Saccharomyces cerevisiae S288C: one gene and its partner. The gene in region 1 interacts genetically with each later gene. Each region holds a gene or a part of one and is shown in the gene's direction. Other genes may lie near its edges.

The links.
Region 2: mutations in POR1 (region 1) and ERG26 together harm fitness more than expected from each alone (negative genetic interaction), as found in Saccharomyces cerevisiae (2 studies listed by BioGRID).

The regions. Positions count from the first base shown.
Region 1 is NC_001146.8:516,700-521,689, reverse strand, and holds POR1 (porin POR1), read left to right. Parts: upstream 1-2,844; coding exon 2,845-3,696; downstream 3,697-4,990. Other genes in the region: YNL054W-A (gag protein), read right to left, coding at 912-2,234; OCA2 (Oca2p), read right to left, coding at 3,848-4,441; YNL058C (uncharacterized protein), read left to right, coding at 4,977-4,990. UniProt on the Saccharomyces cerevisiae protein: Non-selective voltage-gated ion channel that mediates the transport of anions and cations through the mitochondrion outer membrane.
Region 2 is NC_001139.9:494,953-498,375, reverse strand, and holds ERG26 (sterol-4-alpha-carboxylate 3-dehydrogenase (decarboxylating)), read left to right. Parts: upstream 1-1,873; coding exon 1,874-2,923; downstream 2,924-3,423. Other genes in the region: EFM5 (protein-lysine N-methyltransferase), read left to right, coding at 342-376, 439-917, 1,011-1,243; ERP6 (Erp6p), read right to left, coding at 3,209-3,423. UniProt on the Saccharomyces cerevisiae protein: Sterol-4-alpha-carboxylate 3-dehydrogenase; part of the third module of ergosterol biosynthesis pathway that includes the late steps of the pathway.

The DNA.
Region 1 (4,990 bases):
TTCTGTTAGTATACTCAGAACCACGGTCCATTTGTATAACCAAGACACTGGCCTGAAACTGGTTCTTAATAAAAGCTAGTATCGTAGTAAAAACATCGAGGATAGAGTCCTCGCGACGGTCGTGTAATGGATAAACCCAACGGAATTTTGTTGTCTCATCAGTAAATGAGATGAAATAGGATGGTGCACTCTTTGGTAGGTTGTGAACTGGACCAAATATGTCAGTATGTAGGTATTGAAAGGGTTCGTATGAATTTTGGTATTTTAGTCGTGAACCTTTGATATGTCTGTGTTTGGTGCTTTTGCCGATTAAACAATCAGGACATTGATAGTCAATAGCACTAGACCAGTCGACATCTGATTCGTTAAAATACGTGATGGTGTTATTTTTAAGTGAGTATCGAATTGTCTGTGCATTGGCATGCGCAAGCATTCGATGAATGAAAGGATAAGGATATTTGCGTGTACTTTCACTTGTATGGACATTATTGATGGTGGGTACGGAGATATTTGATGGAAGCAAGTACTTTTTAGATACCCAGTAAAAGTCTCCATATTTTACGATAGGTGCAAGTACAGTGCCGTCAGATCGTTCTAAGACGTTTTTGGTAAAGCATGCTGTGATATCTACTGCAGCCAATTCATTCAAACTGAGTAAGTCATAGGCTATGTTAGGAGTGTGCAATACCTTTATTGATGTTTTGGTGTTGTCCTGGAAGTGAAATTGTAGGTCACCAATAGCGTTAATTGGTATATTTCTTTTTTGAGCATCAACTACGTTTATGTCAGGATTAGATGATGCTGAGTGTATGTGATGAGCAGATCTTATAAGGGTTCGTGATGCTCCTGAATCGAGAAGGAGGTGTCCAGGGAGTTCATCATCAGAATGATTAGTATGATTTACTGTAGATTCAGTAAGTTTCTGGCCTAAGATGAAGGTCGTGCTTATTGTTCAATTGAATCGGTTCAGTAGTTGATTTACTGATGGAATCGTTGTCCGTGCTGGGAGAGTTATTAGATGTGGATACATTGTGAGCCCTGGCTGTTTTCGATTTCGAATTATTTGTTTTTTGAGGATTCCGAGCTATAACTTTGGGTTTGGTTGTATTTGTATAGCTGCGAGAATCATTCTTCTCATCACTCGGATTTCTCCTGTAATTAGGTTTGCTGTTTCTCGATCCCTGTTGTTCTTCATAAATAGCATGGATATCTAAGAACAGTTCAGCGACTGTCATATTTAGATGTCGATGACGTGTGTAGCGTAAAAATTTATATTCGCCAGATAGACCTCTCATAATTAATTGGCATGCGACCTTGTTATTGATATGAATGCCATTATTGTTCAGTCTGTCGATAATGTTTGTGACTTTTGTTTCAAATGCATCTGCAGGTGTACTGCCATTATATTGCAAATTTGCCAGGGTCACAATGTCGTTTGCCTCTTGGGTATCAGATTGCATTTTTTCAATACTTTTGGAAAGAATTTTCATGATATCCGTATAATCAACGGATAGGATGTCTTTGACCCAGGTAGGTAGGAATTGAGATGGAGCAAATATTTGAAAAGTGTTATACAAGAAGGTGAGTTCATCATCAGTGATCTGACGTACGGGTTTTCCGTTTACTGTCGGAATAATACCACCGAGATTCGAGTTTTGTAAAAATTTGATGTATGTTTTAACCCAATTTAGAAAGTCATTAGGTGAGGTTAACATTGGTGGTGGTCTGACATATTTTTTAGTGGATGTCATATCAGAGTCCGCTGAGGATGAATCAGTAAATGTATTACCTGACTCAGGTGATGGAGTGCTCAGAGGCGTTCCAACTGATGATGGATACTGCGGAAACTGTGAATGTGGCCCAGGTGGAAAGTACATAGGCGACATTTGATAAGGTGTATACGGAATCATAGATGGGCGTCCGTAAAATGACCAATCAGATGGATTGGCTTGGTTTTGGGTCATCATGCACTGCTGTGGGTACGGCCCATTCTGTGGTGAATGTGACTGAGCAGTTTGAGGAGAGGCATGATGGGGGTTCTCTGGAACAGCTGATGAAGCAGGTGTTGTTGTCTGTTGAGAGTTAGCCTTAGTGGAAGCCTTATCATATTCTTGAATTTTGGAAGCTGAAACGTCTAACGGATCTTGATTTGTGTGGACTTCCTTAGAAGTAACCGAAGCACAGGCGCTACCATGAGAAATGGGTGAATGTTGAGATAATTGTTGGGATTCCATTGTTGATAAAGGCTATAATATTAGGTATACAGAATATACTAGAAGTTCTCCTCGAGGATTTAGGAATCCATAAAAGGAAATCTGTAATTCTACACAATTCTATAAATATTATTATCATCGTTTTATATGTTAATATTCATTGATCCTATTACATTATCAATCCTTGCGTTTCAGCTTCCACTAATTTAGATGACTATTTCTCATCATTTGCGTCATCTTCTAACACCGTATATGATAATATACTAGTAACGTAAATACTAGTTAGTAGATGATAGTTGATTTTTATTCCAACAAGTTTAATGGTCAGAATGGGCGCTTGTCGCGTGCCAGATCGGGGTTCAATTCCCCGTCGCGGAGATTTTTTGCCGCACGTTTCCGCGTCAGACGAGCTTTTTTCACGGTTCCGGTGCTTTTTGCCGGCTGCGGCCCAATCAAACACCGCCATTTCGGCCGTTCCTCAACAAAGAACCCCTTTTATAGCCAGCAGAGCACGAGTTGATCTACTATATAACTACCCCCAACTCGTTCCACTACTCATTAGTGCTACGGATTCTCCCAACACGAAACAGCCAAGCGTACCCAAAGCAAAAATCAAACCAACCTCTCAACAATGTCTCCTCCAGTTTACAGCGATATCTCCAGAAATATCAATGACCTATTGAACAAGGATTTCTATCATGCTACCCCAGCTGCCTTTGATGTGCAAACAACAACCGCCAATGGCATTAAGTTCTCATTGAAGGCTAAACAGCCTGTCAAAGACGGTCCACTGTCTACTAACGTGGAAGCAAAGTTGAATGACAAGCAAACCGGCTTGGGTCTAACTCAAGGCTGGTCTAACACAAACAACTTGCAAACCAAATTAGAGTTTGCCAACTTGACCCCTGGTCTAAAGAACGAATTGATCACTTCTTTGACTCCAGGCGTCGCCAAGTCCGCCGTCTTAAACACTACGTTCACACAACCTTTCTTCACCGCAAGAGGTGCCTTTGACTTGTGTTTGAAGTCACCAACATTTGTTGGTGACTTAACTATGGCCCACGAAGGTATTGTTGGTGGCGCAGAGTTTGGTTACGATATCAGCGCCGGTTCCATTTCTCGTTATGCCATGGCTTTAAGTTATTTCGCCAAAGACTACTCCTTGGGCGCTACATTGAACAACGAGCAAATAACTACCGTTGACTTCTTCCAAAACGTCAACGCCTTTTTACAGGTCGGTGCTAAGGCTACAATGAACTGCAAACTACCTAACTCCAATGTCAACATCGAATTCGCCACTAGATATTTGCCTGATGCATCTTCCCAAGTTAAGGCTAAGGTGTCCGATTCCGGTATTGTCACTTTGGCTTACAAGCAATTGTTAAGACCTGGCGTCACTCTGGGTGTCGGTTCCTCTTTCGATGCTTTGAAGTTGTCTGAACCTGTTCACAAGCTAGGTTGGTCTTTGTCCTTCGACGCTTGAACGTATATATCTAATATATATATGTTCACTATATACCATATATGTGCTCGTTCTTGTTTCCATTTTTCTACTTGATCTTTAGACTTGTTGTTTTATTTATACAAATATATTAATGACAGAAAATATTCTTTGTAACGGCTGGTTCTCATAATCATATTGGTTGCTTGGCAGTGAGAATAGACTCACTTCCTGACTCATCATCACTTCCTTCCGCAGCCTCTAGCTCATTCAAATACAAGCAGTGTTTAGCAAAGCCAGGGATAACGTTTCTCGGTATTTTCAGATTGGTTTCGAACATTGTGATAAACTCCAAATCTACTCCATCTTTCATCCCACCAGAAAATAACCCGTACTCTTGGCATATACCTGCAGTGGACCATCCCTGTAACAACTTTCTTATGATTCCCACAACTACACCAACACGGTGCTTGCCCTTATTGGAATGCACTAAGATGGGATAGTTTCTGACATCCAGCACCAAGTGCAAGACCTGGTTCATTCTTTCTTGAATTCCTTCATCGCGGCTTGAATCCATAAATATGTGATAGTATTTTATCTTTTCTGACTCCAGGAAGCTTTGATATTCTTCGAGAGGCCTATCTTTATCGCCAATATATATTATGGTCTTCAAGTGTAACTGATGCTTGATGAAACTATAATTTAACGGCATCGGGTATCCCGATCGATATAACGATACATCCGTGCTCACCACTGGCGAAAAATTTAATGGGGGTATGTATTTCATAGCATCAAGAAACGTGCACTCTATTGGTATTTTGCCTTCACTTGTTGATATATCAACTAGACTTTAATATCTTAAGTAAACTCTCGCTTTTTTCTGATCTTTTTTTTAATTCTGGAAAATTCAGAAGAAAAAACAAAAATTACTGAAAAATCTGGGCTAGCACCAAGAGCTATTCATGGATGAATCACTAAATGAAAAAGGGTCTTTACTTTGCATGCTACCACTCACATGAATAGTATAGGGGAACCTGGTGACAGCCTCCCTTCTCACTTTCTGCCGATTTCCAATGATCACTCTGCAGAATTCTTTCATGAAACCCTTAATATGATTTCCTAAAGCGGGAAATAGTAAACATATCATAAAACATTTGTAAAAAAAAAAAATGTATAATTAGAAATTACTAGATTTTCAATTATATTTAGCAGCTATATGGGTTAATAATTTATAATGTTTATTAATAACATACCCACACTCTTGTATTATAATCAACTAGACTCATACCTTGTCAAAAGTTCAGAAAGAAACATCGGCAGAGATGGTTAAGAAAAA
Region 2 (3,423 bases), on another chromosome or scaffold:
TACTTTCGGAAATCACGCAAATATTATGCACTAGTAACCCTCAATCTCTAAATAACTTATATTGTCATCTGTAAGGCAGCAAAATCCAAGATGGGCAATGTATATAGGTATATAGTTTAGTATTGTCATCTCATAGAATATCAACTGCATAATATACATGTATATATAATTTCCCATTCATTTAGAGGCTTCTTTTTTCGTCTGTATCGCTGAACCTTATGCCGGTTAAATCTAACAAAATTTTTTTGAACTGGAGGAACTAAAAAAAAAAATATTAATCTTGACTAATATACTAATCAGTCACTTTACATCTTAATGAAACCGAAAGAATCACTGATAAAATGTCCGACTCCGACTCCGACTCCGATTATGAATTGTAAGTACAGGATATTTTCAACACAGTAACGTAGAATTACTAACTAACACGAAACTTAATAGGACACTTTCTGCTAATGCCCTCGCTGCCCTTGAAGAATTCAAAAGAGAGGAACAACAACATCAAGAAGCCTTTCAAAAGCTTTACGACGAAACGGATGAAGACTTCCAAAAGAAAAAAAAAGAAGAAGGGATGAAGCTTTTCAAGGAAGATTGGCAGCTTTCCCAGTTTTGGTACAGCGATGACACAGCCGCAATTTTAGCAGATGCCATATTGGAAGGTGCGGACGAAAACACTGTAATTGCAATAGTTAGTGCGCCATCCGTCTATGCTGCCATTCAAAAGAAACCTACTAATGAAATTCCAACCGAACATATCTACTTGTTCGAATTTGATAAGAGATTCGAGTTGTTAGCTGGAAGAGATCATTTCTTTTTTTATGATTACAATAAACCACTGGACTTCAGTGATGAAATTAAAGGAAAAGTTGATAGATTGTTAATTGACCCACCTTTTTTAAATGAAGATTGTCAAACAAAGTGTATGTATATCATAAACATATCCCTACTCATTTTTTAATCTTTTTTCCAGTATCTTTTCATCTTACTAACTGTTATTCATTGATATAAAATAGCCTCTATCACTGCAAAGTGTTTATTAGCGCCAAATGACAACTCTAAAACTAAGAAAGGAGTTTTTAAGCACCGCCTCATAAGTTGTACTGGTGAAAGAATGTCTGAAGTCATATCCAAAGTTTATTCTGACACAAGAATAACAACTTTTCTTCCTGAACATTCTAATGGTTTGAGTAACGAATTTAGGTGCTACGCAAATTTTGAATGTAGTTCATGGAAATTTGCTTCTTGAGCTTTTTAAGAGCTTCGATAAATTTGAAAATTAATTGTACTACATAAAAAATATGTAAACATCAATATATATAATATAATCACATTTCAAATATATCACGTGTTATATTTACTATATAAAAATTCAATAAATAAAAAGTTAGAAGATAAAAATTATATTATACATATTTTTATTTTTATTATAATTTTTGTTTTTGCCTTCCGAAAAGAAAATAGTTTTTTGTATTACGGAAATTACAGAAAAATGTTTAATTTTGATTTCATATTTTTTCTTTCTTTGAAAGAATATTGACGACAAAGTATTGGATAATTATAATGCAAGGAAAGGATATTTGTAGATCTTCGGTTCAATGAAAGTTAATGCGGTATGAATATTGCTTTCTCCAGGACCTTTTTTTTTTTTTAGAGGCTATTTTATTGTCGGTGTTTGTGGATTTTATATTTCTCGGTCCGATAGTCCCTATAGATCGTTTATTGTTCTCTCGAGAAATGGTATCGTTTAAAAATCTCATATAAGCCTGCAAGGAAAAGATTATGCTGCAGCTATAAAATAGAATAGACAACAATATAGATTGTCAATTTTGTCCAATTTTATTTGCAACTCTACCTGGAAGGGCAAACAAAAATAAATATGTCAAAGATAGATTCAGTTTTAATTATCGGTGGTTCTGGTTTTCTTGGATTGCACTTAATTCAGCAATTTTTTGATATTAATCCTAAGCCAGACATCCACATTTTTGATGTTAGAGATCTCCCTGAAAAACTTTCAAAACAGTTTACTTTTAATGTAGACGACATAAAATTTCATAAGGGTGATTTAACATCACCTGATGATATGGAAAACGCAATTAACGAAAGTAAAGCAAATGTTGTTGTTCATTGTGCTTCTCCAATGCATGGTCAAAATCCAGATATTTATGACATAGTGAATGTTAAGGGAACCCGTAACGTGATAGATATGTGCAAGAAATGTGGCGTTAATATACTTGTATATACTTCCTCTGCTGGTGTTATTTTTAATGGGCAAGATGTGCACAATGCAGACGAAACCTGGCCAATCCCAGAAGTTCCTATGGATGCGTACAATGAGACTAAAGCTATCGCCGAAGATATGGTCTTGAAGGCGAATGATCCAAGCAGTGATTTCTATACTGTTGCTCTTCGTCCAGCTGGTATTTTTGGCCCAGGTGATAGGCAATTAGTACCTGGTCTAAGACAGGTTGCGAAATTGGGGCAGTCGAAGTTCCAAATTGGTGATAATAACAATCTATTTGATTGGACTTATGCTGGAAATGTTGCTGACGCGCATGTGTTAGCTGCACAGAAACTTCTCGATCCAAAAACAAGAACTGCTGTCTCGGGTGAAACTTTTTTCATTACCAATGATACCCCCACCTATTTTTGGGCCTTGGCCCGTACTGTGTGGAAGGCAGATGGTCATATTGATAAACATGTTATTGTTTTGAAAAGGCCAGTTGCAATTTGTGCAGGTTATCTTTCAGAATGGGTATCCAAGATGCTGGGTAAAGAGCCAGGTTTGACTCCATTCAGAGTCAAGATTGTGTGTGCATACCGTTATCACAACATTGCTAAGGCCAAAAAGTTGCTAGGCTACACACCAAGAGTTGGTATTGAAGAAGGAATTAACAAAACGTTGGCCTGGATGGACGAAGGTTTGTAATGGCAATCGTTAGGAGCTTTTTGATCCGATTATCGAAAGATAGTATGTTGAAATAGCATATCTGATACGCACCGTATATATTTATTCTGTCTTTATAGATGAATAATAAGAATTGAAACACCTAAAACATCTTGATGACTAGGTTAGTATATATATGTATACACTCATTTAATGACTACACTATGAAGCGTCGGGGTAATGCATGTAAATAAATAGAAATAAATCATTGAAACAACGAAATTCTCATGTATGCCTGCTAAGGATTCAATTTTTTGATATGTACGGTCATAATACTTTCTGCTTAACAAAAAACGAGCGTAAACTTTTCATTTGCCATACACAAATTATAATGAGAAGAGTAACTTGAGTTACCGTCCACCACATTGCGCGAGAATTCACAGACTCTGATATGTCTCTAAAGGATTCTTCACGTTCTCTCATCAGTTGTTGCTCTCTCCTGATATCCACGATCTTAGAATTCAATATACTGACTTTTCCGT